Linked DNA regions of Oreochromis niloticus. The protein of the gene in region 1 interacts with the protein of each later gene in a pairwise test. Links are inferred from orthologs where the notes say so. Each region holds a gene or a part of one and is shown on either strand. Other genes may lie near its edges. The genes, in order: lg3h11orf68 and eif4h.

What was found.
Region 2: the proteins of lg3h11orf68 (region 1) and eif4h interact in binary tests that used the Homo sapiens proteins (3 or more experiments, as listed by UniProt). The two-hybrid records come from large-scale screens. The link is inferred for Oreochromis niloticus from reciprocal best matches to the Homo sapiens genes C11orf68 and EIF4H.

What each region holds. Positions count from the first base shown.
Region 1 is NC_031967.2:4,877,639-4,889,641, forward strand, and holds lg3h11orf68 (UPF0696 protein C11orf68 homolog), read right to left. Parts: upstream 4,948-12,003; 5' UTR 4,794-4,947; exon of another isoform or gene 4,789-4,793; intron 4,320-4,788; 5' UTR 4,277-4,319; coding exon 3,533-4,276; 3' UTR 3,061-3,532; downstream 1-3,060. Other genes in the region: rela (transcription factor p65), read left to right, coding at 563-778, 862-942, 1,053-1,124, 1,299-2,107; drap1 (dr1-associated corepressor), read left to right, coding at 5,397-5,438, 6,029-6,101, 6,307-6,400, 7,533-7,658, 8,605-8,695, 8,794-8,882, 11,526-11,715.
Region 2 is NC_031979.2:40,136,806-40,149,245, reverse strand, and holds the start of eif4h (eukaryotic translation initiation factor 4H), read left to right. Parts: upstream 1-7,617; 5' UTR 7,618-7,709; coding exon 7,710-7,774; intron 7,775-11,903; coding exon 11,904-12,091; intron 12,092-12,173; coding exon 12,174-12,238; intron 12,239-12,319; coding exon 12,320-12,416; intron 12,417-12,440. UniProt on the Homo sapiens protein: Stimulates the RNA helicase activity of EIF4A in the translation initiation complex. Binds weakly mRNA.

The DNA.
Region 1 (12,003 bases):
AGTTTCTGTACAACAGTTTCTTTTAAAGTGATCACTTTATGTTCATTGTGAAAGCCTTTTTTTTTTTCTTCCCTCACTTATCTGCTGCTGTTTGATCATGGCAGGCATATATGCTTTGTATTTTGGATGTGGGTGCTCCCCTGAGTACCATTTGATACATCTTAAACTGCATACACATTGCATCATTGCAAAAAAAGATTGTGAGAAGGCTGAATTTTGTACTAGTTCATCTCTTGGTCCTGCTGTCTCTGGGAGCCTGTCACACAGCTATTTTCACAGTGAGCGGAGCTGTCACATATCTGCTTTGAACATTAAACCCTTTTAGTTTAGGTTTAACAACTGAAGCTGGCTGCGAGCCTTCTAAGTTGTTGTTATACTGGAGTGTTGCGTGGCAGCAAATGTGATGCAACACCCCCGGGGTCTTTTCTCTGTTAATCAAAAACATCAGATCTGCTTTTGCACCGAAGCTGGCGAGTTAGTGCCCGATTATCTGATTATTCTTTTTGAGTTCATCACCAGCTGCAGTATGTTGTTACATTTGCCATTTTCTGTTCCCCTGCAGAGGACATCGAGGTGCGTTTCTTCCAAGACTCCTGGGAGGGGAAGGGCACTTTCTCCCAGGCTGATGTCCACAGGCAGGTGGCCATTGTGTTTCGCACACCGCCCTATCGTGACACTAACCTCACTGAGCCAGTGAGAGTCAAGATGCAGCTCCGGCGGCCCTCTGATCGAGAAGTCAGTGAGCCAATGGACTTCCAGTACCTGCCATCAGATCCAGGTAAAAGACATTATATGCGGGAAAATGTACTGAGTATGTGTATCATTTCTCAAATTTAAACTTTATCATTTCCACCCCTGCAGATGAATACAGGCTGAGTGAGAAGAGAAAGCGGACAGGAGACATATTCCAGAACCTGAAGCTAGGGCCCTTGCTATCTAGTGGTACGTTGATAAGATTTTTTTTTTTTCTGTCAGCTGAGCATAGTGTAATTGGATAATGGTTACACTGTTGTAACTGCACGGTATTATAAACACGTCTTCTGACATTTCAGTGACCACTCCACAAGATAGACAGCACCTAAACCCATCAAGGAGAAAGCTGACAGCCAAGCCTCCACAAGCTGGTGAGTCTGTTTCAGATGTTCCTTCCTTATTTGAACTCATTTGAAGACATACAGACATCTCCTCATCTTCCTTTCTTAAGGCAGTTGAGTCATTAGCGGTGAACTTTGTGTATGTGAAATATGTGAGAAGGATTTTCTGCAGTGAGTTCTCAAATCACTTGTTTGTGTTTGCAGCAGCTGTGGTGCCTACTGGTCCCCTTGGGGCAAAATCACATACCCAATACTTCCAACCTGGCCAGCTATTTTCAGAGCAGACAAAGGTAGAAGCCTCTAACATGTCAGCAGCTCCTACCAACCAGTGGAAGATGACAGGCCTGGGCTCCCAACCAAAAGCAAACCCAGTGTCTAGCTTTTCAATGAACCCATCACCGGCCACCGTCTCCTCTACCATCGCTTCCACTTCCAATCAGGACTACTCAACGGTCAACCTGTCAGATCTTCATGAATTCTTCCCCAACATTTCCTCGACTATCACCCAGCAGGAGCCCTCAGCTTCTCAAATAAACTTGGCCTCCTCACAGACAAGCAACTCCTTCGCCCTCCAGAGCACTCAGTTCCGGGCGGACCCAACACTTGTGGATGACGATATCCCAGATTTCCCTAGCTTCACTGAAGGCCAGGTCCCAGTCAACCTGGACAGCCTCAACATGGATGACTTGGAGGATCTTCTGAACCCCCAGCTTGTTGGTGTAAATCATCCTTCATGTCATCAGACTGGCCCTTCAGCCTCCTCTACCGCTGCCCAGACTAGTGCAGCACCTCAGAACACTTCTGACCCTGCCAGCACTCCAGGAAGCACTTGGATGAATTACCCCAACAGCATCGTGCATCTGCTCCAGAACGAAATCATGACAGACAGCAGACCCAATAACAACCAAATGCTCGAAGACTTCGATGAGTTGATGTCTGCAGATGAGGACCGTCTTATTTCCATTTTTAACAGTGGAAGCCAAGCTGGGTTTGTGTCAGGACACCCGACTTAAAGTTTGTTTCATTTTTCCAAAGACCAGTTGTATCTTCCCCTGTGGCCATCAGGACTAAAACTTCTTTATTATTGTAAGGCAAAAAAGGAAGTAGGCAGGAGACCGAATGTAGCAGCACTGCTCACTGTGGACACACTTCTTAAAATACCAGCAATGACTTTATGGTATTCAGTCTGACGCCTTGCCCAGTCATATAGTTTGTCTGATAAATTACAAAACCCATAATGTAGGTGATCAGATTTCATGCCCTGTGAAACCCATGTCCAGCATCTGTGACTAAATGTTTAGGTCACTGTCAACATATTGATGGTGGAGACAGATTCTCCAGCGAATGTTTTAAGAAGACAGACAGCATGGGTACTTTGATAAAGGTATCCGGTGTGGTGATTATTTTTGGAACATGTTAAGCATGTTTTTGTACTGTTATTTGAACAATTTTGCTAGCTGTAGCCACAAAAATGTGCAGCTTTTCTCTTTTTTTGTCTTTATACAAAAGGGTTCGTATATATGTAATCAGATCTAGAGGTAAGTCTACACAGATTATGTCCGTTCTTAAAAATCATCTCTTTGGATTGCACCGTTGTTTTCTGAAGGTTAACACAAACTATCTGAATGTTCTAGAAACAAAATGAAGGTGTACATTTATCAAACAAGCAACATTACTATATACGTGCTTATACTAGAGATTGTGCTTTTTATCTGGTAATAGTTTCCACTGCTCTGTAATCAGTTTTTCTACACTTATTTTATCAGTAATGGCTGCATTTTAACTCAACTGTTTCAGACTTGCTATACTCTGCAGTAAGGTGCTTTACTGAAATGTAATTATGTTTTTACATGTATTATGAAAGTGGATCGTACTATAATTGTGCTTTTTTTTTTTTTGAGAATGAGACTAACTTTGTCAACATTCAAAACACTGTTTTGGCAATAAATACCACAACGTATAAAGATGATTTTCAAAAGAATATTTTACTTTGCAACTCTGTAACTGTTATACAGTACAAAGGAAAAAAAAATAAAGCCGAACGCAAGAGACAAATGTAAAATAGCAACAAGGAGTGCTTCACTGGATCTTCTGAAAATGTGCATACAAATCAAGGACGTTAGTCTTCTTCCCGTCACTCGAGCCTGTTAGAATCTTGTTAGTACTACTATTCTTGCTTATGTATACAATATTTTCAATACAAAAAAATCAAAGTGTTTCAGGTCATTCAGAAAATTTTACAACACAAAAAGAGACAAATTTAGTGGGGGGGTTTTCTAAAAAAAAAAAAAAAAAGGAAGAACTTGTGATCAGAATTCAACCAATGATGTTCTAAATAGTTGCAGGCAGAGGACTGTACTGTCCAACCCATCTCCTGGGATCATCACGCACCTCTTCACATACTGTTACAGCAAAGCTCCTCTCTTGGTCTGAGTAGCTTATGTTACCTCAAGATTGGTAACTTTGTTGATGATGTGGGAACGCCTGGGCACACACTCCAGGTCGAACTTGCTCTCGTATATGGTGGGGCAAACATTCCAGCGGTTGTTCCGATAGATTCCCAGGTATGTATACACATCTGGCTTGTAGGAGAGAGGGCATTTGACCCCTGTGGCACGAATGACTGAATCCAGCCTTATGACCTCATTCTCATCAGTGAAGTTCTGGTTATAGGCACAAATGACCTGCTTGCCCTCTGCCTTGCGGTCAAATGGGGTGACTTTAACGAGTGAGATCTTGCCATCTAGGGCTGCTCTGGCCACACATTCCCAAGCATGGTCCAACTTGAAACCAGTGTCCAAGTGCATAAGCCACTTGCCTGAGAGTACCCTATGGTTCAGGGCCAGCTCCCTCACTGTCTGGAAGGTGACAGGCCGGGAACTCGCCAAAAGTTTCTCCCAACTCTCCTGGAGTCCTGTGACATCCGCACCACTGGGGCAGTGGTTTGGGCCCACCACAGCAATCCACCCCACAGGGCTGACGCCACCCTCCTCGTCTCCAAATCTGGACACTTGGGAGGGCCGGTTACTCTCCAACCAGCCATCAAACTCGGATCTGGGAGTTCTTCTAGAGTCAAAAACAATCCAGGGGTCCATGTCTGCAGCCATGGCTTCAGCAGCGTAGGTCTCTGCAGCAAAGGGGGTCCTCATCTCGCCATCAACAGGGCCCTCTTCTTCCTCCATAATGGTATAGCAGTTACACGAGTAAACAAGTTCTGAAGCCTTCCTGTTGAGTTGAAGAATGCAGTTATTATTTTTATAAAAACCACTGGTTTAGCCTCTGTGTTAGCTTACAACCCCTTTGCTGTGATTTATTAGCTTACAACCCTGCCAAACTTCGACAGAAGTGGACAACTGAATTGCTTATGAATGCTAATAGCTAGCCTGCTACAACAGCGAAAGTTAGCGTTTCTCTACCACTGATTCTGTTTCACACTAAAGCTGCTATCGACCCCAGTGTACCGCCTACAGCTGACATGTCAAAGAACACGTAGAACAGCTTTCTGACTGCTTTAGCCTTGTTGTAGCTAGCCGACAAGCTAGTCTTTATAAATGTACACGCTCGTCCTTTTAGAGAAACATTAACCATTTCTAGCCAGCTGTTGAATACAACTGACGCTTTAACATTCACAGTTTTCCCATTTAAAACGTAAATAATCGCACGTCGATGTTAAACTTTGAACATAAAGGCTTACTCTACCCGTAGATGTCCAAGTTTGTTGTTCAGTGTTGATCTTCCGCATAAGCACAGCAGCTCCTCCGTATCTAAGAGCCAAAGTCCACTCAGGTGGCTGACAGTTTAACTAATAATTATTTATACATCAATTAAATTTCGTACCTCGTCCACAAATTCGACCGTATGGAACACATGATATAAATATATATTTTTACGTTTTGCTATAACATAATTATAAAAATAAGTTATGTTGTACTAGATTCAGCGACTTTTAAGAAACTTGCATGTTCCTCGGTATGTGTACATGTTAAATATGTAAGTTTCCTACATCAGTGTTTGTGTTTGTTAAGCTTTAAAAAATAAACCTGTTCCATTACTATCGTTAAAGTATTTCGTTTCTTTGCATTTGCGGAACAACATGCGCTCCAACCTGACGGCACGGAGACCCTGCGGAAACAAACTGACCGCACCGAGGAACGAGTGACGAAGACGACGTGCTAACTAGTTAGCCGGATAGCCACCACTATCTGGTGTGTGCGCGGTGGAGGCGAATTTCTGTATGAAATAGAATACGAATATAGCATATATTGTATTTTAGTTTAGTTTAGCCACCCAGGTAATTTAATTATGCCCAGCAAAAAGAAGAAATACAACGCCAGATTTCCTCCGGTAAGTTTAAACTGTGCTGAGCCGGTGTCAAAGCAAGCTAACGTTAGCAAAGTGTAACATGGAAAGCTAAGTTCTGTAACTAGCTTAAGTGGAATTCGGCCTCTTTTGTTGCTTAGAGAGCAGACAAGCCATCTAACACTCGCAAACCATTTAGTTTACAAAGCACGTGCCTTAGTGAAAAGTAGTTGATTTCATGAAGTTAGTGACCAAACATCCCCTATATGTCATTAGTTGGTGGTGTACACACATAGCAGGCGTGCTATTTAAGTTGGTCTACTAATTGACGTTGTTTTTAGCATCTCAAGCTAGGCTAAGCGGCACGCAAATAAATGTGAATAAATCCATTCTTTATTATAATAAGCTGCATAATGTATCTACAATCCTCACACTACGTGACTAGTGTAAAAGGAATGATTGCCGTTACTTTGTGGGGACCTCACATTATTCGATGTGGTGTACTGCAAACTCTTTACTAAGTTGTCCCTGAATTTCAGTGCGTTTTCACTGAAAATGATTTTTTTTTTAAGGAAAAGAAAATTTTAAGCGTTTCTGTAGACACATGCATAAAAATCGACCTTTTCTCATTTCAGGCAAGGATTAAGAAGATTATGCAGACAGATGAAGAAATAGGCAAAGTGGCTGCAGCAGTGCCTGTTATTATATGTATCCTTTCTGCCTGCAGTCGTCACTGTGCAAGTTTTGTCTTGAATGATAAATTGTAAAAGTCAAAGACTGATTAATAATTAGAGAAAAATGCTTCCTCAGTCTGTTGTGTTGTTGTGTCAAGTTGTCTATTATTGCATGTTTGATGATTTTAAAGTTCAAACACACAACTGCTTCACTGTACTTCCCTTATCCAAGATATCAGCGAGAGCCCTGGAGCTTTTTTTGGAGTCGTTGCTTACAAAGGCTTGTCAAGTCACCCAATCTAGGAATGCAAAGACAATGACAACGGCACATCTGTAAGTTCTGTGTTTGTCTTCATTGTGTTGCATTGTGTTGGAGATGAACTTCTTAGGAAGGCAAAGCCATCTGCTGTTCAGATATATGCTGTTCAGGTATATTAGGGTCAGAAAGAGGTAGTTGAAGAAAAGGGGAAAGTTGTTTATATAGAATTGTATTTGTTTTTATTGAGTGTGGCTGAAATGCTGTCAGGCCTTTATTTTCTTTATTTTTAAAGTGGACTCATGGTGAACTTCCAGCTCGATAATTTCATTCTTGGACTTTACTAAAGTAGCTTTGCTTGATTCACATTTAAAAATAACGATTATTCATAATATACACAATACACTTATTTTAAGTCAGTTTTCTTCTGATTAGTTTTAACAGTACAAAGTTCTTTCATCTCATTCAATCAAATTTCACAAAATGGGAATTGTGCAAAATTTCAGGTCTTCACAGTCATTAGTTTACTCAAGAAAATAATCCTCAGTGAAATGTTGAAAATAGGAGTGTTTTTGAATAATTCCCTAGCATAATTTTTTTTCTTTCTCATCTTCCTAAGAAAAAATTGCCTAAAACACTTTAAAGTAGATAATGTCATATTAAAATAGCCCCTCAAAAATGATATTGGAAAATGTCTAAAAACCTGGAAATATCATCCCTTGAAATATTTTTGAGAAAGCTAATAACAGCCAGGACCTGAAACTTTCTACGATTCCTATTTAGGATGTGTATCCTCCACCTGGAATGTTTTTTCAGGTAAGATGGTGAGGTGAGAAAGCATTTGATGAACTGACAAGGACTGGCCCTATACATTGCAAAAAGATAAATAAATAAATAAGTAAGGAAAATTATTATGAGCCGCTTTTGCAAAAAAAATGGCATCCTGTTACACAGCATGATTTACTGTGTGGTGGGAGCCTGATAGTGCTGTGGAGCACATTTGCAGCACATTGCCGAATCCCTTGTATCTGAAAGTATTTCTGGCCTGTGTAAGACAGAGCCCGCCAAAACAATCTTTCCCTGTGACTCAGACTGTATGTGTTGCTAAAATGAGTATGTACACCATTAAGCTTGCTGTCTTTTTGATACGAGCTTACATTTCACTTGGCAAGTAAGGCTGAGGAGAAAACTGTTCATATTTATTCACAGAAAGCAATGCATTGAGCTGGAGCAGCAGTTTGATTTTTTAAAAGACCTTGTTGCAGCGGTGCCAGACATGCAGGGAGAGGGGGAAGAGAACCACACCGAGGGGGGAGGAGAGAAAGTCCCACGAAGGTAATATTTGCTCACACAGACACCCAAACATGTAGAGAAAGAGTCATGATGCTTTGAAAGCGAAGGAGTATTTCACATACACAGTGAAAACACTCCAGGGTGATATGAGGCAGCCAATCCAGCTGCAGATAATTTGGACTTATTTCATTAAGCAGTTTGTAATTCAGTCTGCTCTGATAAGTGCACACACGCACATCGGTTTAAACTAAAAATGATTCGCACGAACAGACAGAATCTGTGCACGTTATCTTTTCCTCTTCTGGAAATGAGCACTGCTGTAAATTGGAACCGACAGCTGCGATATGTCTATAATCCTTGCAGTGTTACCGTACTCCTATGTTCCTTTAGTTTTGTGATTCTAGATTATCTCCCCCAAAATAACAGAAGAAAATGAAAGAGTTGGCCAGAGCAAAAATTAATTATTGAGGAATTGTAGACAAGAAAATGCAGTATTGACTGTCAGATCAGACACCGGCACCACAGCTAATTTGTAGCGGAGAGCTTGGCGGGCAATTAGACATGAATTAAATGAGTAAGAGAAGGCTTCTTTTCTCTGAAGACTGCGGCTGATTGGATTCAGATTCAATTCAAAGTGGTCGTAAAACTTGTAATGTTTAGACATTTGGTGTCAGCAAGTGCCTCAGAGTAATTTTCACCAGCAGTATGCGTCACACTGTTCTCCTCTGGAGTTATCTTAAAGTTGCAAGGAGAGGATTTCTGCTTTTAAAAAAGCCACATGTGTTTGTAAGCAGTTGAAAAGTCATTAGATACTATGTTTTTCATTTAAAACATTTTTGTGCACTAAGTTAAACAAATGATTTCTGGTTCCCTCGTCCATAATAGCCCAAGTGTATGTTCTGTTCCATGTGTTGTCTCGTAAACGTTCTTTTGAAACTTTAAACTACTATCACATTTCCTTACACGGTTATTCTTTTTTCTTCCTCAGAGGTCGAAAACCAGGGTCTGGTCGCAAGAATGGAGGTGCTGGCGCCAAAGGCAAGGACAAGAAGTTATCTGGAACAGAGTCGGAGCAGGAGGTGTGAGATGATTTACATGTAGAGGCCTGAACCTGTCTATTGTGTTTGTCTGTATGAGGGGAGACGACTCACTGTTGTCTTCCTTGTGATGGAAACAGGACGACAGTGAAGACAGCGAGACAGACGGAGACGACGAGGACGGCTCTCAGTCCAGCACACATCTGCAGGCTCCATCCAGGTTCCACAGGTTTGTGTCCAGATCCACATGAGACGGTGTGTCTGGAAATATCCTCCCAGACTGCAGACTCGGAGAGAGGGAGGGCGTGTTTTTTTGTTTTTGTTTTTTAAACTCTTGCACTGCTCTTCCCTCTGCAAAACAGACTCTCTGATACCAAGATGTAAAGTGATTTACAGCATATGACAAAGGAGGTAGAAGCCCAGAAAATGGTATAGAATTCATGAGAACTGCTGAATCATTATAAACAACCCACACACATTTGAGCCATTCAAACACTACATGATACCCACAAGAGGGCAAACCGATACAGCAAAAGGTGCAAGTAGTTACTTACGCACATTTAGTCCAACATAAACATGTCTACATACCTACACATTACAGAATAAACTAAACAAGTTAGGTCTGGCACCCTGAGTGAGCTCTGCTATGGAACAACATGGAGTGGTGTGGACTGGCATTTATACAGTACATTTCTAGTTTTCAGTATTCTGAGTATTCAAAGCTCTTCAGAATACCGTCCCCATTTATTCTATACTAGCACACTTTCACCAATTTATCTACACTCAAGCTGTGAGACAACACAGCTGGCAGAATTAGCACTTTAAGTTGATTCTTATATCATCTGATAAAATCATTGCAAAAACAGAAGACTCATCTAATCATGGAACAACAATTAAAAAATTCCATGGATATGAATTTGGGAAATGATTAGCAGGGACCTGACGTGTATGAGGCTTTTCCCACTAGCCAAATCACAAGACTTATGCTTCAACCATTCACTCGGTGCAGTTAGGGTTACACTTTTCTGCAGTCTGCTGATTACAGAGCTTGAAGAGCAAATTACTCTTTGTGATTCTGATTTACTTGAGAACTGAGGTTGTGATATTGAAAATGGTAATAAAAACGGTAAATAACCATATAGTGTACTTGGAAAAGTAACCAAGAATGTAGGAAATGTGTTTTATTTCAGTCTTTATTAATTTGGTCAAATTTGCCAACACAGAATAGAATTAAGAGGCTTGTGGAGTCTGGGATGTCTGCAGTACTGTTCCAAGTATTTTCTATTGCTATATTCCATTATTGCACTGTTACAAGCAGATATAATAATATTCAAAACCCAATATGACACCCCCCCTCATATACAACTCTACACTCACGTGCCAGTTTATTAGATACAAATGACTGGGTTGAACCCCATTTTTCCTTCAGATCAGTCTAAATTCTTTGTGGCGTAGATTCATCAAAATGCTGGAAGCATTCTTGAGATTTTAGTCCATACTGACATCAAAGAATGATACCGACTTTGCAGATTTGGCTCTATATCCGTGATCTTCCATTCCCCCACATCCACTGGCAGTGACTGTAGAGGCCATTTGAGTACACTGGACTCATTGTCATGTTCAAGAATCCAGTTTGAGATGATTTGAGCTTTGTGACATGCTGCGTTGTTCTGCTGGAAGCAGCCATCAGAAATGGGTACGCTGTGACCATAAAGGGATGGACATGCTTAGTGACAATACTCTAGTAATGACGCTCAGTTGGTACTAAGGAGCACAAAGTGTACCAATATAATACCCCCCACCCATACAAAAATGGCACCAGAATGAACTTTAGATACAAGCCAGGATGCTTTCATGTTGTTTACACCAAATTCTGACTCTGCCATCCAAATATCACAGCAGAAATCAAGACTGATCAGGGCAATGTTTTTCCATTTGTATTGTACAATTTTGTTGAGCCTGTGTGAAATGTAGCCTCAGTTTCCTTTTCTAGCTGACAGCACCTGGTGTGGTCTTCTGCTGTAGCCCATCTGCTTCAAGGTTTGATGTGTTGTGCATTCAGAGATGTCCGCTCAAATAACGAGTGGTTATTTGAGCTGTTGTTGCTTCTTATCAGCTCAAAGCAGTCTGCCCCTTATCCTCTGACTAAGACATTTTCGTCCAGTGAACTGCCTGCAAACTGGACAGCTTCTAATTATGGACTGTTCGCTGTAAACTCGGAGAGAATTGTGCAGGAAAAGCCCAGTAGATCAGCAATTTCTCACTAGGCTAGGTTTTTCACTTGACTGGGATGACATTTTAAGACTTGTCTGAAGAAGCACTAATTGGTTGGTAATTACATCAGCAGCAAATCGAGTTCAAAGCTGTCTTATCTCAAGAAATAAACACTCAATTTACTTTACATAATCTTTCAGCTCTGTTTTCGTGTTGTGCCTCCCATTAAGGTGCTGCTATTTGTCTTTTCATTTGTAAGAAAATCTCCAGACAAGCAAACTTTTTTTCTCTCTCAAAAAGTTATATAGTCTCACATTAAGAGCACATAAAGGCATATTTCTATATGACTGGTAACTGCAGCCTGTTAAGAGAGAAATCTGGTGGCTGACATTATGCCAAAAACAGGAAGAGGGCGCTCTTTTCCTACTAGAATCAATAGCCAAACCTTTGCTGGCCTCAAGTTGAGTAAGTTGTACCTGGAGTTCCCTGTAAATATCAAGATTCATTTTGGATATTTAACTCTAAAAATAGTCCATTATTTTTAGTGCACAGTTAATTTGACTAATAATGTTTAAATTTAAAAGGTAGCTTGTGCATAAAATGCACTTGGTTTGACATGACTCCTCAGAGGTTAACACCTGTTCCTGTGCCCCCACAGCTCCAACGCTCCCCCTCAGTATATGCACATGGCCAACATGGTCCCAATGGGCAACATGGCTCCGACGCAACCCCCGGGCACCGTGGCCTTCGCCCCACACGCCTCCATGATGAGCATGGCTCCACCTCCCACAGTCCCTGCACCGCACAAGAACGGGGACGACGACGACGATGAAGATTATGACTCTTAGCTCGTTCTCAGCGCTACACTCACACACTCTCTCATTCTCTTCTAACACACACACACACTCAATGTTATTTTTCAAATTCTTAAGTTGTTTTTCTGGCAGCTGCTGTAAGCAGAGGAGAGAGAGAGACTCTTCATTGCAGCCTGCTGACCAAAACGCCCTTGACGGCCAGCTATAAGAGCCACCACCACCGCGAGAGACACAAAGCCTGTACATTATGTGTTTTAATTTTCTTTTTCTTCTTTTTTTTTTTTTTAAAGAAACTTTTATTTTATTGTAGAGAAGAATCCA
Region 2 (12,440 bases), on another chromosome or scaffold:
TGCATGAATAGATGAACCACAAAACTCCACCTCTCTGGCTGTGTGTTACAGTGTGGAGCAGGTGGATGTCTCATTGATCTGGCTCAGGAGCTGCTGGTCATCATGGTGGGAAAACAGCTGATCAACAACATCCAGGAGTTCATTTCCCCGTAAACAGACACACACACAAACAGACTGCATCCTGGTGCCAGTGTGTCTCAGAATACTGGTGCATAATGCACAGTTATGTGGATTTGTGTAACCAAGCGCACTCTTGGGTGCTTTGCAATGATATGGACTCATTATTTGCAGGAAGGTGAAGTCATGGTGGCAGAAGAGGAAGATGAATCCTCAGCTGAAGGAGGCGGGACAGGAGGCCCAGAGGCAGGAGGAGGCTTCTCCCTGGGAGGCAGACTACCAGCTGCTGGTCTGTGAGGGACTCTTCAGCGAATACCTGGAGATGGGTGAGTCCGGATTTATCCTCGCATCCTGGGAGATGTAGTGTTTCATACGAGTCTGGTCTTCACTGTAAATCCTCCTCATCCTTCACAGTGATTCAGTTTGGGTTCATCACCATCTTCGTGGCGGCGTGCCCCCTCGCTCCTCTCTTCGCTCTCATTAATAATTGGGTGGAGGTCCGTCTGGACGCTCAGAAGTTTGTGACTGAATACCGCCGCCCGGTGGTAGAGCGAGCTCAGGACATCGGCATCTGGTTTCCTATCCTGCAGTTCATCGCACACATGGCCGTCCTGAGCAACGTAAGAATGTTTTGGGTTTTTTTTACATCTGGACGAACAGTTAGCATCCAACCCCGTTGATGTCATTCCCACCTGTTCGGCTAGAAAAGTCCAATTTGTATTTCCAAATTTAGCTCAAAACATACGTTTTATTCGCACCACAACCATAAATAATGATCCTATAAATCAGCCGCCAGTGAATCTGAACTTGTATTTTCAGGCGTTCCTCATAGCATTCACGTCATCCTTCGTGCCTCGACTGTACTACCGCTACACCAGAGACAGCACACTCAGCGGCTTCATCAACTTCACTCTGGCTACATCACCACTCAGCTACCAGCAACAGCACAACACATCCTGTAGGTAAGCATCTGCACCACAACACCACCACCAAGAACCACATGTCCATGGGCAGGCTGAGCCCGGTCAGACAGTCATGGACTTCATTTTAGCCCCAAAACAGTCATAGTCATAAGATCACACAAGACCAGGCATCTCAGCAGCTTTGAGATTGGGCTCAAAGGTGAAATGTCAAGTTTTCAAAGAAAGAACTTTGATTAGAGATCTAAAACACGATAGCAAAGTGTCCTGATTCTTTTAACTCAACGTCAGCAGCCACATCTTTAAATAAACGCACATAATTTTAACACTGAGACACAAGTGTGTGTCATACTTATTCATTTCAATTCAATTCAATTTTATTTATATAGCGCCAAATCACAACAAAAGTCGCCTCAAGGCGCTTCATATTGTACAGTAGATAGCACAGTGATGAGCACTTATGAGCTCATCACTGCCAGCTCAACACTTAATCTTTATTCATCCTCTTTGGTCATTAGCCACGTTATAGACTCTTCATATGACACATAATGGAACAGGAATATCATTTATTTGTAGGTGCACATTTCCCCTGACTAAGTAATGTTTGGGCTAAAACTGGGCTCTGTCTAACACAGGGGTGGCTGAATTACATTCAGCTAATGTGGGACTGAAAGTAGATTATATTAGACTTACTGGTCCCACATGATCACAACACACAGTGGTTGTCATGATCAGCGTTCGTGGACTGAATGGTCTGCGTCTCACCATGGAAGTCACGATGGACCTGCCCAAGGTCTGCAGGAACACCACAGGTGGTTAAACGGGTTTATATTGAAATGGGTGGAAGCCTTTTTTCTAGATGTGTGTTCAATGAGATCCAAAGACAATTCAGTTTTATTTATACAGCACCAAATCACAACAACAGTCGCCTCAAGGTGCTTTATATTGTAAGGTAGACCCTACAATAATACAGGGTGGGTCATTTATATGGATACACCGTAATAAAATGGGAATGGTTGGTGATATTAAAGTCCTGTTTGTGGCACATTAGTATATGTGAGGGGGCAAACTCCTCAAGATGGGCGGTGACCATGGTGGCCATTTAGAAGTCGGCCATCTTGGATACAACTTTTGTTTTTTCAATAGGAAGAGGGCCATGTGACACATCAAACTTATTGGTAATGTCACAAGAAAAACAATGGTGTGCTTGGTTTCAACGTAACTTTATTCTTTCATGAGTTATTTACAAGTTTCTGACCACTTATAAAATGTGTTCAATGTGCTGCCCATTGTGTTGGATTGTCAATCCAACCCTCTTCTCCCACTCTTCACACACTGATAGCAACACTGCAGGAGAAATGCCAGCACAGGCATCCAGTATCCGTAGTTTCAGGTGCTGCACATCTCGTATCTTCACACCATAGACAATTGCCTTCAGATGTCCCCAAAGATAAAAGTCTAAGGGGGTCAGATCGGGAGACCTTGGGGGCCATTCAACTGGCCCACGACGACCAATCCACTTTCCAGGAAACTGTTCATCTAGGAATGCTGGGACCTGGCACCCATAATGTGGTGGTGCACCATCTTGCTGGAAAAACTCAGGGAACGTGCCAGCTTCAGTGCATAAAGAGGGAAACACATCATCATGAAGCAATTTAAAATATCCAGTGGCCTTGAGGTTTCCATTGATGAAGAATGGACCCACTATCGTTGTACCCCATATACCACACCAAACCATCACTTTTGTTGTTCCAACAGTCTTCCAACAGTCTCCATCCAATGTGGGTTAGTGTCAGACCAATAGCGGTGGTTTTGTTTGTTAACTTCACCATTCACATAAAAGTTTGCCTCATCACTGAACAAAATCTTCTGCGTGAACTGAGGGTCCTGTTCCATTTTTTGTTTTGCCCATTCTGCAAATTCTGTGCGCCGATCTGGGTCATCCTCGTTGAGATGCTGCAGTAGCTGGAGTTTGTAAGGGTGCCATTTGTGAGTAGCTAATATCCGCCGAAGGGATGTTCGACTAATGCCACTCTCCAGTGACATGCGGAGAGTGCTACGCTGTGGGCTCTTGCTGAATGCAGCTAGGACAGCCACTGATGTTTCTTCATTAGTGACAGTTTTCTTGCATCCACATTTTGGTAAATCCAACACTGAACCAGTTTCATGAAACTTAGCAAGCAGTTTGCTGACTGTAGCATGGGAGATGGGTGGTCTCGTAGGGTGTCTTGCATTGGAATCTGCTGCAATGACCCGGTTACTGCGTTCACCAGATATCAACACAATTTCGATCCACTCCTCACGTGTTAACCTCTTCGACATGTCAATGGCTGTGAACAAAGAGAAACTTGTAAATAACTCATGAAAGAATAAAGTTACATTGAAACCAAGCACACCATTGTTTTTCTTGTGACATTACCAATAAGTTTGATGTGTCACATGGCCCTCTTCCTATTGAAAAAACAAAAGTTGTATCCAAGATGGCCGACTTCTAAATGGCCACCATGGTCACCACCCATCTTGAGGAGTTTGCCCCCTCACATATACTAATGTGCCACAAACAGGACTTTGATATCACCAACCATTCCCATTTTATTACGGTGTATCCATATAAATGGCCCACCCTGTACATACAGAGAAAACCCAACAATCATATGACCCCCTATGAGCAAGCACTTTGGCAACAGTGGGAAGGAAAAACTCCCTTTTAACAGGAAGAAACCTCCAGCAAAACCAGGGGCGGCTCGGTTGGGGTGAGATGAGGAAGACAGGACAAAGACACGCTGTGGAAGAGAGCCAGCAGACAACTTTTTATGTTTGTATTTGACAACCTAATCTTGACGTCATTTCGACATCTGTGACGTCACCTTTCATTTAACATTTGGTTGGTAGGAACAAAATCCTGAAAACAAATTCACTGTTGCTGTTGAAGTTTCGAGTGCTGTAGATGAACCAGAGAGCCTTCCAAACTCTGTCAAGTGTCTAAATGTTTACTGCAGCTCATTTTATTTATTCTGTAAATTTAAAATGCTGGTGGTGCCATAATGTAGTGGTTTACAGTGCTCCGCCGTTAAATCCCAGCAGGAGAGACAGAGGCTTTTGGGTTTGTGTCCGAAACGTATCGGGAGTGAAACTGTGCCACGTGAAAGAAGAAGCTACCTGCTGTGGATGAGTAGCACAGTACCTACTGCAGGTGATCGATGTGTGGTTATCTTACACAGGTATCGTGGTTTCAGGGATGAAAACGGTGAATACCTGCCAGAGTACTTCCACCTCCTCGCTATACAGCTTGGTTTCGTCATCATCTTCGAGGTCAGTGTCTCTCAGACTTCACTGAACCCCAAGCAGCTTGTGAACTGCTGATCGGCAGTCCGCACATTGAAGACTTGTCCCATTTTTCTTCCTCAGCACGTGGTCTTCTTCATCGGCCGCTTAATAGATTTGATGGTTCCTGATGTGTCCGAAGAGGTGGAGATGAAGATAAAGAGGGAGCACTACATGGCTAAAGAGGCTCTGGCTGAGAACCAGGTATCGAAGTTAACAGACTGTCACATGATGGTTTGTCTCACAGTTTGGTTTGCCACAGTTTAGTATCGTGTTCTATGCCTGCAGTCTCTGGGAAAGACCATGATTCCTGGGAATGGGGAAGCCCCGCCCAGTGAACTGCGACAGCGTAGATCCAGAATCTCTCCACAGGAGAGCGACCCACCGTCACCGAACCTGGAGGAGATCGCAGAGGAGACTGAAGCAATATTCAGCTCCTAAGACAAAGCTCAGGTGGACTTGGGCTACCTCTACAGCACCCAACGCTCGTTTTTAACCACTCACTGCTTTTCACTGTGCCTGTCATCAAATAACTTAACTTTTTAACTGTAACGTACTATTTTCAAAACTTGCCATGTTTGTTGTAATTGAAGTTTCTGAGTTAAATGCTAAATGTTGCTCAGCAGCTGGTAACCTGATGGGAGGCAGTTAGCGAGAGCGCTGTAACATGAGCTGGGCTGTTTCATGTAATGAACATTTGGATATCTGTTACACATAAACCTATACATATCCAAACACTTTATGGGTGATTACAGAAACATAATCATCAGTGTTGGCATGAATTTCACTGTGGATGAGGTAACTTCTCTCACACTGTAGCTGAATGTGCTGTTTATGTGTATTTGAGTGCTTAGTCAGATATCTTGTGTAGTTTAGCTTCTACTGCTGAAAGGTTTTAGTCTATTTTCTAATAAAAATTCATGGCCAAGAAGATTTACATTATTTTTGGTATTTTCCATTTTTTCAGGTTATTGTTTGTTGTTCTGTCTAAAACTGTGTAAGCTCAGCATGAGGACCACTGATGGGAGTGGTGATTAGATGTTCAACCATATCCTCCTGCAGAAGAACGGGGCCCAACAGCAGCTACCTCCATCAGCAGAACAGATCCCCACAAAAAATATTTGAGGAACGTTTTTCAGATACTAGTGTGGTCAAACTTTTGCACGATTGGATCTGCTTCCAATATTCCAGTGCCAGATCTGACTGGACAGCCCCAGAGGGCGACATGAAGGGGCCTGAACGACCCATCATTTACCACGTGTTTCCCAGACATGGATTAAGCCCATTCCTAAAGTAACAGAAAAGTTCAATCTCCACTGAAAACAATTTTAGTCTGAAAAAAGGCTCAACCCAAGCCCAGAGAACTGAGCCATAATTTTACAACGTTATACTGCACTAAACGTGTATTACAAAGTAAAGTCTAAACAGATATCTTAACTGTCACTGTTTTAATCCAATTCCATTTTATTTATATTGCACCAACAACACAACAACAGTTGTCCCAAGGCACTTTATAATGTAAGTTAAAGCTCTACAGTAATAGTAATTTGAGAAAACCCCAATAAACAGACGCACCCTTGTGAGTGAGCACTTTGGCGACAGTGGGGAGGAAAAACTCAGTTTTATCAAGAAGAAACCTCCGGCAGAACCAGGCTCAGGGAGGGGCGGCTCCCTGTTTTCTTTCCTGGCTGGAATGATTTCACAGCATGTTTAATCATTTTTAAAAACAAGTTTATTTGGTGTTTTCCTCCATTCACACAGGGTCATAATATACGTGCACCTGTCTGGATATTTGAACGCTCTTCTTGGCAGAAATGGCAGGGTTAATTTAAATTAGTTGGTTTTCTGTTACAGACCCAGCTTTAAAGTCCACAAATTCTTGACAGGGTTGAGGTCGGGGCTTTGGGAAAGCCATTTCAGAAGCTAAATGTTGGCCTGCTTTGTCCAAAACCAGTTCCGATGAGTCATCGTCACAAACCAACTGTGTCAGAGTTTCTACCGTCTAGCTGTTAGTTTGAGGTGAAGGTGAAGAATTTGGAGATAGTCCTCCTCCTTCATTATACCATCCCCTGTGTGCAGTCTACCAGAACCACTGGCAGCAAACAGCCCCACAGCGTGACGCTACCACCCTCGTGCTTGACAGTCGGTACAGTGTTCTTAGGTTTGAAGGCCTTACCTTTACTCCTCCAAACATTCTTCTTGTTATTTTGACCAAACAGCTCAGTCTTTGTCCTTCGTTCTTTGACCATCAGTCTTTTCTCCAGAAGTATTTGATTCGTCCATGTGGGCAGCTGCAAATTTCAGTCGAGCTTGCAGGTGTTGATGTTAGAGCGGGGGCTTGTTTCTGGGTCAGCATCCTCTCAGTCCATGATGATGTAAAACTGGGTGTCCACCTTTCTGCAGGCTTGCCCCTGAACATCCTACCCAGTTTCCTCTCAATGGAGGGTGACAAGTTCGGATATTCTTCCAGATCTTGGCAAAGTGTTGAAACATCAGAATAACTTACATACAAATGTCCTGGAGTCTGCAGCTGTTCAGAAATTACTCCTAAAGACTTTCTTAACTTGTATAAATCTGCAGTTGTCCTTCTTAGACCTTCACAATGTTCCCTGAACTTTCTCACTAGACAGAAGTTAAGACTTCAGCACCATTTATTAAAGTATTTGTCTGACTTTGCACCTGTGTGGAACAGAGAAAATACATTTAAAGATGTGTAGTGTACAATCATTCCAGCCTGGGAAAAGAACTGGCCAAATAAATCATTAAAAGTCCAAAATTACTCCGACATTACAATGAAAGGATAAAGACGTCTGACCACAACTGTAGATGCTTTATTCATATCACTACACCAAAAATACAGTATTGCTTATGAACAGAAAGACTTTTGAAAAAAGGATCTTTTGTCTCAAAGACCTTGTGTGTTTTATCAGTTTCTCAGACAGAGAAGCATCTGGGCTAACATTTTGTAAATGACGTGAGGGACAGACAGAGCTGTGGTGAGGTGTGGCCACATGATTTAAACGGAGTCAGTGGTGTCATCCAAAGACAACAATGGGCCAAACATTTATTGGCTTCAGGATTATGACATTTTAACAACTGTTTCTATTGTTTACTTTGTATTTTCCATTCATTTTAACAATTCAATTTAGTTTCGTGTGTTTTCCACGTTCGTGCTGTGTTTTCATTACTTATATTATAAATATTTCATTTCAAACTGACTTAAAAAAAAACATAATTAGTAAAAAAGAAGTTAGTGTGTGATTTTACCGGTCAGGCGCTCTGCGGGCAGCTAAACCCGCTGTGTGTGTGACGTGTAGGACCTCCTCCTCCAACACACAAGCAGCAGTAATGGCGGACTACGACAACTACGATGAACGGGACCGGGCCTACGGCAGCTTCGGCGGCGGCAGAGGGTGAGTTTCCACCGCGCACGGCAGCTATGTCGTGTCCTCGAAGAACAAACCCGACCGGACCGTCGCCGTGTTTCCCGCTGCTGTCCGCCCCGAGTCAGGGGAGCAGGCTGTCTAGGCCCCGGAGCTCGACACGCCCCGCGGTTACTGAACAGGCCGAGCATGCGTGAGGGTATCCCGGAGATATCAGCCGGGAAACACCGCGGTCTCGTAGCTAACATGCTAACGGTTAGCGAGCGGCTAGCTAGATGGAGACAGTAAGAACAGGCTCTCCAGTGTGGCGTGGATCGCCCCGCAGCTTGGCGGTACAGATACCCACTCAGCGTGTGTGGTTGTGAGGCGGTGGGGCGACCGGCGGGGAAGGAGGCCGCAGCAGGTTCAGGTGGAGGCGGTGGCGGAGCTGCAGGCTGCCCGCATGGCTGCATCATGTGTCCCCTGCTGCACATTCATCCACGTCGCAGTCAGAGCTGAGAGTGGGAGTCGGTTAGAGCCGGTAGATGCGGTTACCGTCAGGTCAGCGGTTGTTTTCCGCTCTGTGGCACTGCATGTTGTTATCTGATTGCTGATAAACGATAAAAAATAAAAAAAAAACAGTGTTTTTTTTTCGTGGAGGGAGGGGGCTTCGGGATGTCTGCAGCACACAAAGCTTTAATATCAGCACAGGCAGGAGTCACCTGTGAGAAGATCGGACTGATGTTCTCTCCTTTATCACAGACTTCATGAACGGATTATCAGAATTCTTTTCTTTTTTTTCTTTTTTTTTTTTTTGCCGAAAGTTTGCTGAGATTAATTTTTGGTCGATTAATTGTTTCAGCACGTCTTTATTTCTGTTTCTTCGGGAGCACCGAATCAAATTTTAATCAAAGTTTAGAGACTGATGAAGAGTTACGGGGCTGCTTTTCTTCATCAGTTGTTCTGTCAGGAGCTGAATCTGATGAGAGGGGAAAACGTTGGGGCTGAAGTCTATATTTTAGGAGTGGAGGGAATTCCCCTCATTGCATGCTTCCATTGGAGCAGGGGAGGCTGTAGAGTTTGAAGGAGTCTGGGCAGATTGAGTGGCTGACCCCTGCAAAGACAATACATCAAACAGAAACCAGACTGAACTGGGTGAAGGTAATATCCGGTAAATCAAACTGTCCTAGCTTCTGCTTGAGCATCTTCTCAGAGCACCGAGGTCCATGTCGGCACATGTTGAAGTCTGTCTGTGTTTGAAACAGTAGGGGGTGCTGTAGTCCTGCAGGGAGGGAGCAGAGCTCCAGATGTTGATTGTTCTTCTGGTCGCTCTGCACCGCTGTCCTGAACGTTATTGGACCTCTGTCTGTGGGGCTTTTTTGTAATACAAGTGAAAGATTTATGTATAACTCTTTTTAGGACGATCTCCTGATGGCTCCAAAATGAGGCAGAGCGGACTGTGAGTGCATGAAGCTTTGTTTGAGGGTGTTAGACGGCTGATTTCAGATCTGAATCCAGACTGTTGCTTCAAGAGGTTAGCAGCTGGCTCCATGTCAGTAGGTCAGACTTTTACTGGTTCATAAAGAAGCTAAATAGAATCTATAAGAACCAAACGTCTATTATTAGATTTATGTTGTTTATATTAAATCTGTATCTGGGAAAACGAGTCCCAGTTTCCAGATATCCCATTTATTTTGAAGCCAAAGCTAGTAGAAGGTGTGGTGTTCTGCATGTGGCTGGCATGTCTGCTACTGGGAGATGCTGCTGCTGCTGGCAGCCTGTAACAAAGCCTCCAACAAGTCATTTAAAGCTTCATCAGTTTCTCTGCTGTTGCTGTGTTTAAGGAGAAAAGGTGGTGTGTGGGAGCAGCACAAATCTTTGCTTCAGTTTAAACGACTCCTGCAGGCAGTTTAAGGTAACACTTTTGGCGTGTGAATGTGGAAACACTGTGAGAGAAATCTAAGGAGCTTGGGGGCGAGCTTCTTGGATGAGAGGTGAACCGTCTTCAAGCAACTTAAAGAAGTCCAGACGCTTTTCTTTCCAAGCTCCTTAGACTACGATGACCTGGATGACTGAGAACCTTCACAGACACTGTGAGAGAAAACTGCTCCACGGTGAGGGTCTGTTTCAGCTTGACAGGGGAACCCTGTCTGAAATACTTTATTACTTTATTATTATACTTTATTACAAAGGTCATCAGGTCATCACTCATGTTCAGGGCTTTTTGTGGTGGTTGCGTAATATAAAGTGTTGCAGCACTCACTTCAAAGATGCTGTGTTAGGACGAATGCTGGAGGCTGATAGTGGGCCTGTGGGGGTGGGCGGTCCTTCTGTGGTCAGGCCAAACAGTCCGAGAAAGCCTCAGTTTGATCAAACCACAACACTTCAAACAGTGCCGGTGCTTTTCCTTTGCCAGCATGTTTTATATGCAACGCCTGATTTTAGCTGCGCGTCTGTATCATAGCAACAACAACCGGTCAGCGATGGATGCAAATCCAACTCCAAATAGCAGCGAGCAGGAGCCAAGCTGGCTGACTTTGTTCATGTAGAGCAGGCTGACGCGCTGCAGTGATCAGCTCCTACATTTAAACCCCAAACTGCACTTTCAGAGCTCCTCTGGCTGTGTTCCTGCTTCATCAGAGCTCCATCAGTGATCCAGGAGCAGCGATCCAGGTGCAGGGTGGAGCAGCACACAGCAGAGCGATAACCAAGTGGCTCAGAGTTTTGAATCGGATTTGTGGTTTATAATTGTTTCAAAGTTTGAGTGGCTACAGAGGATTAAACCAGCTGCTCTGAAACACACAGATCTACACTGGCAGGCATGCGGTAGCATGTCGAGCAGATGGAAATATTCTCTCATTTTTGGAGTTCTTTACCCGATAAGAACCCAACAGGACACACATTTACCGGCATCATAAACACACCACTCCCGACCTTTGAAGCGTCATAATTTCCAGTTATGAGTCCTTGATTATTTTTGTTGTTCAGTTGGTGGAAATCTGCAGATTTACCCGTTATAATAATAAGTTAGAGCAATAATTCCTATAAATGGATATAAAACTGAAGATGTGCACTTACATTACATATCACACATTCAACATGTCCCAGACCGCTGTTTGCTTCCACTAATGGGTTTGCAGAAATCACAAAAAACCACTCCAGACGCACGCTTTGTGATCTGATCAGCTGTTCCTGCACTTCCTACGTTGGAGCATACGTCATAACGTTGTGAGCATCAACTGTCGTGTGGTTTCATGTGCGCCTTTAGCTGTGAAAACAGGAAGTGATGTCATTTTTGCAGGAACTGTAGTTTCTTTTTTCCTCCACCAAAGCCTATCAAAGCTCCACTGGTGCTGTTGAAAAGTGGAACACTGGAAACAGTTTATTTTGATGCACGTGCTGTCTGTTAGTCAGTTTATAAAAATGAGTCTCAAAAATGAAATTATGAAGACTCACATATTTCCTGTGGTTGGAAACTATTGTGTGCAACTTTTCTTTCTTACAGTTTTGATATTTCTTATTGGTTTATTCCACTTATTAAATAATGTGTGTAATTACAGTGGACATTTTACAGACATTATTAAAGTTTGACATATAAGGGTTGTATTGATGCATAGCAACTTGAAATGCTTTAAAAATGTGTGTAAAATGTAAAGTTAAGATCTGGTGGATTTGTGAGATTATTGAGATTATTTCTGATCATTCATCAAACTACAGTATTTGGATATCAGCTGATCGTTTTTCCTTTCAGACAGATTTCCAACATTTGTCATATGTAGTAATTTATTTACTTGTTTACACTCAGGATGTTTCTCCGGTCTCTTTTTTTAATCTTCATTTATTGATCATTTTCATTAACGAGATCGACAGAGAGCCAGTATCGTCCGACTGCATCGTCTGATTTGTCAGGCTGTCCTTCCGTTTCACGAAACGACCGTGAACGAGCGACCGAGCTCATAAAGTCATTGGGAACGCATCACGGGGCCGAGGGCAGCTTTTAGGTGTTTCTGTCCCCGCCACTTCCTGTTTAGGCTCTTAAGCGAGCACTCCCAGTTTGGAAGACCAGTGAACTTATCGTGTGGAAAGTTGTCTTTAACTCTGCTCCAGTCTGAGCTCTATATCCCACAATCCTCTTTACTTGTGTACCTGTCTGACGATCCTCTGTCCCCCCTCCCATCAGGCCCCGTGGCGGCAGCGGTCCCGGAGGCCCCAGGAAGCAGAAGGAGCTGCCGACAGAGCCTCCGTTCACGGCGTACGTGGGAAACCTGCCATTCAACACGGTGCAGGGAGACATCGACATCATCTTCAAAGAGCTCAACATCCGCAGCGTCCGATTGGTCAGAGACAAAGAGACAGACAAGTTCAAAGGTTCGGATGGGGTGTGGGTGTCGGGGATGATGAAGTTCGCCTCGGGTGAAACTTCCTGTCTGACTGTTTGCATCTCTTTCAGGTTTTTGTTATGTTGAATTTGATGATTTGGAATCTCTAAAAGAAGCTTTGACATACGACGGCGCCGTGAGTATCTGATTTAATAAACCCGACGTTTTCTGGTTCTGCCACGCTGCCGTCTTGTCTGACAGGAACTCTGACCTCCAGTTATTAGGTGAAAGGTCACTGAGGGTGGACATCGCAGAGGGACGAAGGCAAGAACGAGGCGGCGGCGGCTTCGGCTTCAGGAAAGACGACGGTAGAGGTACGAGCAGAGAAGAAGAGTGCT